Struthio camelus: one gene and its partner. The protein of the gene in region 2 interacts with the protein of the main gene of each other region in a pairwise test. Links are inferred from orthologs where the notes say so. Each region holds a gene or a part of one and is shown on either strand. Other genes may lie near its edges. The genes, in order: OBI1 and TCEANC.

Region 1 (3,910 bases), about 35 Mb from region 2:
TATCTGGGAAGGCTTGAGTAGGTGGGTGACTTTCAGCAGCTTCAAAATTTTTTCCACTCAGATTGCCTACACTGATTACATTATCACCCTGTTCGCATGCATTGAAGCCTCAAATCCTGAAGGTTTCTGCTTCATTAATTACAATGAGTGGATGATATTACTGAATGAGTCTCTATTTAATACGTGTTTTTACCCTCTCACCGCTATGCATAGCGAAATATGTTAGTTGAAGTTTCTGGGTTACATCAAACCCTTTGCAAATTTTGCAGATTTATGAAGAGGTATTTTCCAATTGCAGGGTGGGCCTTAATATTAAGTGTGAAGCCTATGCTACAAACCACAGAAGTACTAGAACATGTCAGCCCTCCATTCCACTTTCTGCTCCTTCAACAGGACAAAAACTGCAAGACTGCTCCCTCAAAATTAAAACAAACAACCTTTTCTTCCTCCCAACAGAAAACAGAAAAGCTTTTCTTGTTGAAGTCTTTCAACAAAGTTTCAAGCTGCAGAGATTCGTAAGAAAAAATGCAGCCTGAGCAGCCTAACTTTGCCAAAGTTTTAACTTCAGGCATCTAAGAAGGAAAGCGTTCACTGACCTTAATTAGAGATGTCACCACAAGATTCACTTGTAATGTTAATATATAAGCTCAACGCAAGATATGAAGGAAGACGACTGTGGAAATCTTTTCCAGCTACAAACTCAGCTACATCAATTCCTAATCGGTTTCAGAATTAAAAGTGGAAGTATGAGATAGCGGCTTGAAATGAGACAACGGTTTCATAGCAATATATGAGTGAATACATAACAAAGCTATTAAGTGCTTAGATTACTTTGGAAATCACCTGGAACAGATTCAAATTAGCAATAAATTACCAGCTCGTTTTAATCTCCTTTTCAAAGAAAATCCACTCTTCATTACAGATAAAGTTAATTTGTGTTCTCCTCCCTTCACACTAAACAGGTAAATAGAAAAGGAGAGAGGACAACCACACTGGGGATGCCTTATTTGGTTTCTACAGAAAAGCCAAGAAATGCATAAACATGGTTGCTGAAAGCATTGTGCTCTGTCAGAGTTGAGACACTTGCGAAGAGCAGATGTCCGACTATTTCACCACCTATGCTACACCTATTTTGCACATCAAACACATCAATCCTTTTGTCATCTTATCATACAAGCAGCAAAGGTCTTGGAGTAAAGGCCAGGTAAGGTAGAAAGAAACAGGACAATAAATGCCTGAGCAGAAATAACCTTTATGTTCATATTTCCTCCCTTATAATTTCTGTTGTGTTTTGAGAGGTTTGTTTTGTTTTGGAGCACAGGGAAATTAAAAAAAGAGTAGAAATGGGAAAAGAGCAAAGAATCTGAGAAGCAACTTGTAACAGCTATTGGTTTTGGGGGCTTTTGGAGAAGAATAGACTAGCAACAGCCTTCCTCCTCCTGAGGGAGGAAAGGACTGAAATCCTCTCGAGTAAGAAAGAGGAAAATTAATTTTTTTCTCCAAACTGCTGGAATATTGTTCAATGATTTTTTTAATCCACTCAGTTACACATCTTTCTATTTACAAATTCTTTTTTCACTTGTCCTTTGTGATACAGCACCAGGCTCAAACACAAACTTACCCTACGTTTTAAAATATTTGAGCTCCTATAGACATCAGAGGCAGAAAAACCCCCTTAACTTGAAAGCAATGCAACCATATTTTGGAAGGTGGGGCGCTGACCGGGGGTGCCTGGGGGACCTGTGGTCTGCAGCCCTTGCTAGCAGTACCCTGGGGGGCTCCCGCCAAGGGCACGCACAGTCGCCACCATCTGAAAGGTGGCAACAAACCTTCCTGGCAACCCACCTGGAGACTGGATCTCCTCCCGCCTCCCCGGGAACAGGATGGCCCCTCCTGGATCAGGGATCCCAACCTACCCCGAGGCGGGATCCTCCCTGTTGGAGACAGGCTCACTCCTCCTAGGGACCAGACCGCCCACCCACTCCCGAGGGGAGTGGGGGGCCTCCCCTCTCGGGGGATCCTGCCCTGCTCCAAGGCGGGATGATCCACCCACTACCAAGGGAAATGGCCCTTCTTAGAGACAGGACTCTCCCTCTTCGGAGATCACCCCTCCGGCAGGTGGGATCCCCCCCTCCAGAGGAGATCACCCCTCTCGCAAGCGGGATCCCCCTCTCCCTCCGGAAATCACCCTTCCCACAGGCGGGATCCCCCCCTCCCCCGGGGGCGATCACCTCTCCCGCAGGCAGGATTCCCTCTTCTCTCCCCCGGAGGAGACCACCCTTCCCGCAGGGGAGATCCCCCTCTCCGCCCCCCGGGGGAGATCGCCCCTCCCGCAGGCGGGATCGCCCACCCCAACTTTCTCGCCAGCTCAGAACCGCAGCCCCCTTAAAGGGACAACGGCCGGTACGGGCGCGGCCTCGGGCCACGGCCGGGCACCTCCGAGCAGCCACCCTCGGGGGCGAGCCCGACCCCCAACCCCGCAGCACGGAGGCGACCCGCCCGCCCCATACCCCTACCGGGCCGCGCCTGGCCGGGAGGGAAGGAGGGGGGAAGGGCAGCGGCTGCCCCCTGGCCGGGGCTGGCGACAGCGGCGGCGGCGCCGTTACCTTCCCCAGGCAGATGTGGCAGGTGATGGGCAGCGTGAGGGACAGCGTCACGCTGGGCCCGCTCTGCGCCATGGCGGCGGCCGGGCCCCCGCCAGCACGGAAGTCCCGCGGGCGGCAACGGCAGAACAACGGCGAACCCCCCTCGCCAAACTCCCGAGTACGGCAAGCCAGCGAGGCCAACCTGCCGCGCCGGGCAAGGAACGGAGCGCGCGCGCGCGCGCGCGCTCGCGCTTTGGAAGCGTTCCCCTGGAGGGCGGGAGGGGAGCGGCAGGGAAGCGCCGCCATGGCGGCCCCGCCGGCCGCCTCTCACGTTTGTGCCCCTGTCGCTGCACCAAAGCACGCCTTCCCCCCCCCCCCCGCACCCCACCATCACCACCAGCGCAGGCAGCTTCCACTCTGGATCTCGGCCCCCCAGGCCGAGGCCAAGGGCTAGCCGCCCTGGCGAGGAGTGGGGGCCTCCCTGCCCCTCGGCCGTCCCGGCTGGGTCCGCGGCCCACGGGAGCCCTTCCTTGGGCAGCTTCTCGCCCTGGGGGTCTGCCAGCAGGAAGCTCCCCCCGGGGGGTTGGCAGTGGTTGTGGCCTAGGCGCAGCCTTGCTGAAAGGCAAGGCAGGTTTTTGGGTAGGATTCGGTGTGAAGCCGCCTCGCAGAAAGAGGTGCATGTGGTTGGGGAGGTCTCTTTTTTCCAATAAACCTTTTTCCTACTGTGAAATAAGGCCAACCGCTTAAACGCTATGAATTCCCCTGAGCCTACCTCTCCCAACTTTCCTTTTTTGAAATCATGCGACCACAGATGATAACATATCCCAGAATAAACTCCTAGGGCGCCATCACCCCTTTCCCCGCCGCTCGCCGGAGCCTCAGCTGCTCTTTCCCCGGGCACTGCTGCGGCAACTCTGCACCTCGGAGCGACCTCGTGTGTTGTGCCGGCCATCCTCCCGGTGCTCAGCCTCCAACAGGCACGTCTTGATGCTTGGCTCGAAGCGTTGCCTTTTGGTCCTGGTGGGATTGTCACAGTCTGGGCTGCTGCGGCTTGGAGGGCAGAAAAGAAATTGTGACTGTGGAAAGCCCCCAGACTCTGCAAGTGCCGTGCAGTAACACTTGCTGATGCTGGAGGGACGTTCCTGCTCTGATCCGTGGTAGCCATGGGGTCACATCCGTGACTGAAAAGCCAAGTGTGTTACTGCGCTTGTATCGCTGACTATCCACATCATCGCCTCTCAGTGTTGTGTTTTCCAGACTGCCTGACAGCAGCTGGAAAATGGTGCTGGCAGGACAGGGCTCTTAGGAGTCTCTTAGCTTGACCT
Region 2 (3,910 bases):
CTATGCAGTCCTTCAAGCGGGAATCAGTCCTCCGAACCTGCCCCGAGAGGGACGTCCTGTGTTCTGAGCCCTGCTCAAAGAGGGGTAATGGCGAGAGGCAGCGAGTCGTGCTCCTTCCTGTGCTTCTCTCTGCCAAGGGAGCTCTCTGTCTTTGTCATGGGCAATGCACTTTCAAGCGGAGGGTGTAAAGAGTTCTCTACATACCACACTCGCAATCTTAGCAGACAGAAAAAGGTTAAAGAAAACTAGCATCGGAGAGCCTTCTCTTGGGATCCTCAAACTGAGACTAAACTGAAAGTCTCGGATACTGCAATGACAGCTGCTGCTAAGCTAATGATATACGCATGCTGCAGAAAAACATAAATACATGTAAGATAGCCCATTGGATGACGTGCTGTATTTGGACTTGGAAGGCTTGGACTGTGTTCCTGGTCTGTCAGCGGTTTGCTGAGAGGGGTCGGGAAAGTCACCTCCTCTGTCCCAAGTTCTTTGCCTCCTCTCATCTGGTTATACTATGGACTCTCGGGGATAAGCCTTGTCCCGCACTTTGTTGCTGTACGGGCCAGAGAGAGGAGGCACGGAGGAAGCCAGATCTCAACTGTGGTCTCTGTTTGCCTGCAATATGTAGCCATGTGGAACAACACTAACCATTGCAGCGTGTGTTCAATCACTAATGAATTTGTTAGCTTGACACACATAAATTGTGAGGTGAGTTAATTATTACATGAAATTAGCAATCATTTAAGATTCCTCAGTTATCAATGTACAAATCAACCACTGCATCACTGCATCACTTCAGACTCCACAGACCCTGACAGCTTAACACATTGTAATAGTAGGCAATAAAGAACACTGATTCACTGGCTCATTACAATGATTTAATAATTTGCTTATTCTTATACCATTTTTAATAGCATATACAATAATGCTAGGGTTTTTTCCCCTTTTGTGATTAGTGCTGGTGATGTTTATTATGTAAAAAAGGGGGGAAGGGGAAGAGGTGTGTCTGCCTTATATGGTACTCAAGTTGAAAAATGCATTTGGCAAGTTGATTTCAGGTAGGAGCCCTCATTGTCAGCAGAGGGCTCCAAAGGCCTCATTAGTAAACAAACACAAAAACGTCTTAAGAAATGACCCGGCTTTTCCACTGTAATTGGGGATAAACTCCTCCGTACACCTCTGCATTTGCTGTAGAACGGACTAGGTGTATTAATCTTTTAGGCAAGCATTTTGAATGTCCAATGTAAAATATATGTGACAGGGGAAAGCACAGCAATAAAAAGTCAATAACAAACGTATTAGCTTTGACTAAAATGCATCAACTTTTAGATGTTGACTGCTGAATAAGTTCAGCACCTGTCATTATATCCAAAAGCTGTTACCCTGTGACGCGTGCTTTATAATATTTAGCTTTAACCCTGTGCATACCGACAGCTCAATTCATCATTCAACCAGCTAGTTGTTTATGCTTAAAAGTAATGCAGCACAGCGCTGAAAAATGGGAAGGTTTACAATGGTTTTGCCCCTGTTAGCTTCACACAGGATACTCATTTACGTGTCATACCGGCTTGCACTAGCTGCGTTTGCTTGAGAAGGAACACACCGACACGGAGGTTAAATTTTAAAATTACGCATTAACAATTTTTTTTTCCCTAAGGCTCAGGACGGAGCAGGGCCAAAGCCCTTTTTCTCCCCCGCTATTTGGGAAACACACCGTCTGAGAGCGGCACCCACGGCCCGCTACCCAGGCCGGCGCCCAGCGGGGCGGAGCGGGCTGCCGCTGACCCCGCACGAGATGGCGGCGGCTGCGCTGCCCGCAGCGGAGGCAGGAAGCGGCGAGCTAGGCGGGGGGGGGGGGAGGCGCCATGTTGAGGCCCGGCGCGGAGGTAACGGCGCCAGCCTCGGTGCCGGGGGGTGGTTTGTCGGTGAAGCTGTGCGTTTCGCCAGGGCAGCGGCAGCGAGGCGCATAGGCTCCCCCCGCGCTGCCTGTCAGGGGATGCCGGGGAGACGTTGCTGCCCGTCTCCGGGCGTTGGGAGCGCGGCCCGTGAGGAGGGGGCGGCGGGAGCGAGCGGCGCGGCGCGGGGGCGCCGGAGCGCCCCGAAATGGCGTCGGCGGCCGCGGGCTCGGCCCGCCCGGCGGCGGCCCCCGACGCCCGCAGAGAGGAGCCGTCCGCGCTGCTTCGCCGGGTGGCGCGTTGAGGCGGGTGCCAGGCTGGTCCCGTTTCTTCCGTGGTGGGGTGACAGGCGTGGCAGGCCCCGGCTCCGGCCGCGCGGGGCCGCGAGCAGGAGCAGACCCAAGGAGAATCGGTGAAGGACGGCGTGGCGCAGGAAGCGTTTCCTGAGGAGTTAGTGGTGGTGGTGGGTAGGTCAGTGCTTGCTTTTCTGTCTGTCTTCGGCGTGCCGAGGAGACCGAGAAAGGGGGCAAAAATTTGCCCTTAAGCAATACGGCAGCGGACCCGACTTCAGCGGGAAGCGTCCGAGGAGTTGTGGGAGAAAGACCTCTGAGGAAGTTTTAATGGCGAATTTGAAATAAAAGGCATGGAGTTAGCACACTCCTCAGATCCCTGTGTGGGATCCATTAGAAATTGCACTGGGCCACGGTTTTTATGGGAGCGATCGCAAACTAATTTGCAGTCAGATTTGCATGTAGTGTCTTACACTAGTGTCCGACACCCCCGTTACAGTGCCGATGGTCGGCCACTGGGGTAGACACACCAACTCCCTAAGCCCTCCAGGTGAGCTGTGGTCTCCAGTTGATTTTCCTGTCAAGCAAACGTCAGCTGGTTTTATCCAAATGCATGCGGCAGGGCTGCTTCTCTGCACTGTCGTAATTACCCTAGTGATTTGTCATGAGCGGCTGTAATCCTCATTGCGGAAGAGGCTAAACTTGAAAATTGCAGGATGAATATCCGTGCTGATGGTACTGTGGGAATTTTTTTGAGATTTATTGTGTTAGTCTCCACGCAGCATTGATGTATTCAGATAAGTCAACTGCTGACATCGATTTGGAATGGAATGAAAGAGTTCACACTTTTATTCAGCAATGTAGTTTTGTTTTTCATAACTAAGGACTTTAAAAATCCATTTCAAGTGTATGTCACATCCTTCCTGTTTTCAATCGGTATATGTCAAGCATCGTTGAAAGCTCTCAAATGTTTAGACTTTATATGTATTAAGCATTCCCTTTTGTATTTTAGCAGAAGAATTTTTAAAAGTTGTTAATATCTTACAAATATGCTTTGTTTGTAACATAATTTATTTGTAAAGGAGTGGGGAACATATGTGCTCTTCTGCATGTAAAGGAATATGTTTCTAAAGGGAAAAAGTTATTTAATTTCTCAATGGAAGACCTGTAATAGAATGGTAAAGTGATATCTAACGTAACTATATCCCCAACAAGTAAATGGTAAAAGGAAGTAGCGTGGAGCTGAGGCTGAGCTAGAAACTGAACGTTGAAGCAATAAGTATGTTCGTTCAACAAATGATCAAAAAATACCTAGTCACCCTCAAAAGTTCACGACAGATTTTATGATTTACGTGTTTCATTTTTATAGTGTATTGATTTATTTTCTCAGCACAATATGTTATGAAAAGACACTGCAGACAGAACATTTACTTCAGTTGTGGTATACTGGAATTTAAGCCTGCAAGTAATTATTAAAAGAAGCCTTCAGCAAGGTAAAAGCTCTGTTGGGATGCGTGCTTTCATTGTAACATCAGCTGGAACGTCTACAACTCAACAGCTGTAGTAAAAGTGGTTTAATTCATAAAGAATATTCTCAGCTAGTTGTTACCAGTGAGGAAAGTCAGAGTTGTCACTCACAAGGTGTAGCTGTACCATTTTTAGTCCTTTCTTTTTTTCTTTTTTTTTTTTTTTTTGCTCCAGCATATGTACTGATGCCAAATGAAG

Evidence for each region.
Region 1: the proteins of TCEANC (region 2) and OBI1 interact in binary tests that used the Homo sapiens proteins (3 or more experiments, as listed by UniProt). The two-hybrid records come from large-scale screens. The link is inferred for Struthio camelus from reciprocal best matches to the Homo sapiens genes TCEANC and OBI1.

Annotation. Positions count from the first base shown.
Region 1 is NC_090942.1:175,961,613-175,965,522, reverse strand, and holds the start of OBI1 (ORC ubiquitin ligase 1), read right to left. Parts: upstream 2,928-3,910; 5' UTR 2,892-2,927; coding exon 2,607-2,891; coding exon of another isoform or gene 2,517-2,606; intron 1-2,516. UniProt on the Homo sapiens protein: E3 ubiquitin ligase essential for DNA replication origin activation during S phase.
Region 2 is NC_090942.1:140,518,690-140,522,599, reverse strand, and holds the start of TCEANC (transcription elongation factor A N-terminal and central domain-containing protein), read left to right. Parts: upstream 1-1,685; 5' UTR 1,686-1,795; coding exon 1,796-1,886; exon of another isoform or gene 1,887-1,933; intron 1,934-2,079; exon of another isoform or gene 2,080-3,910.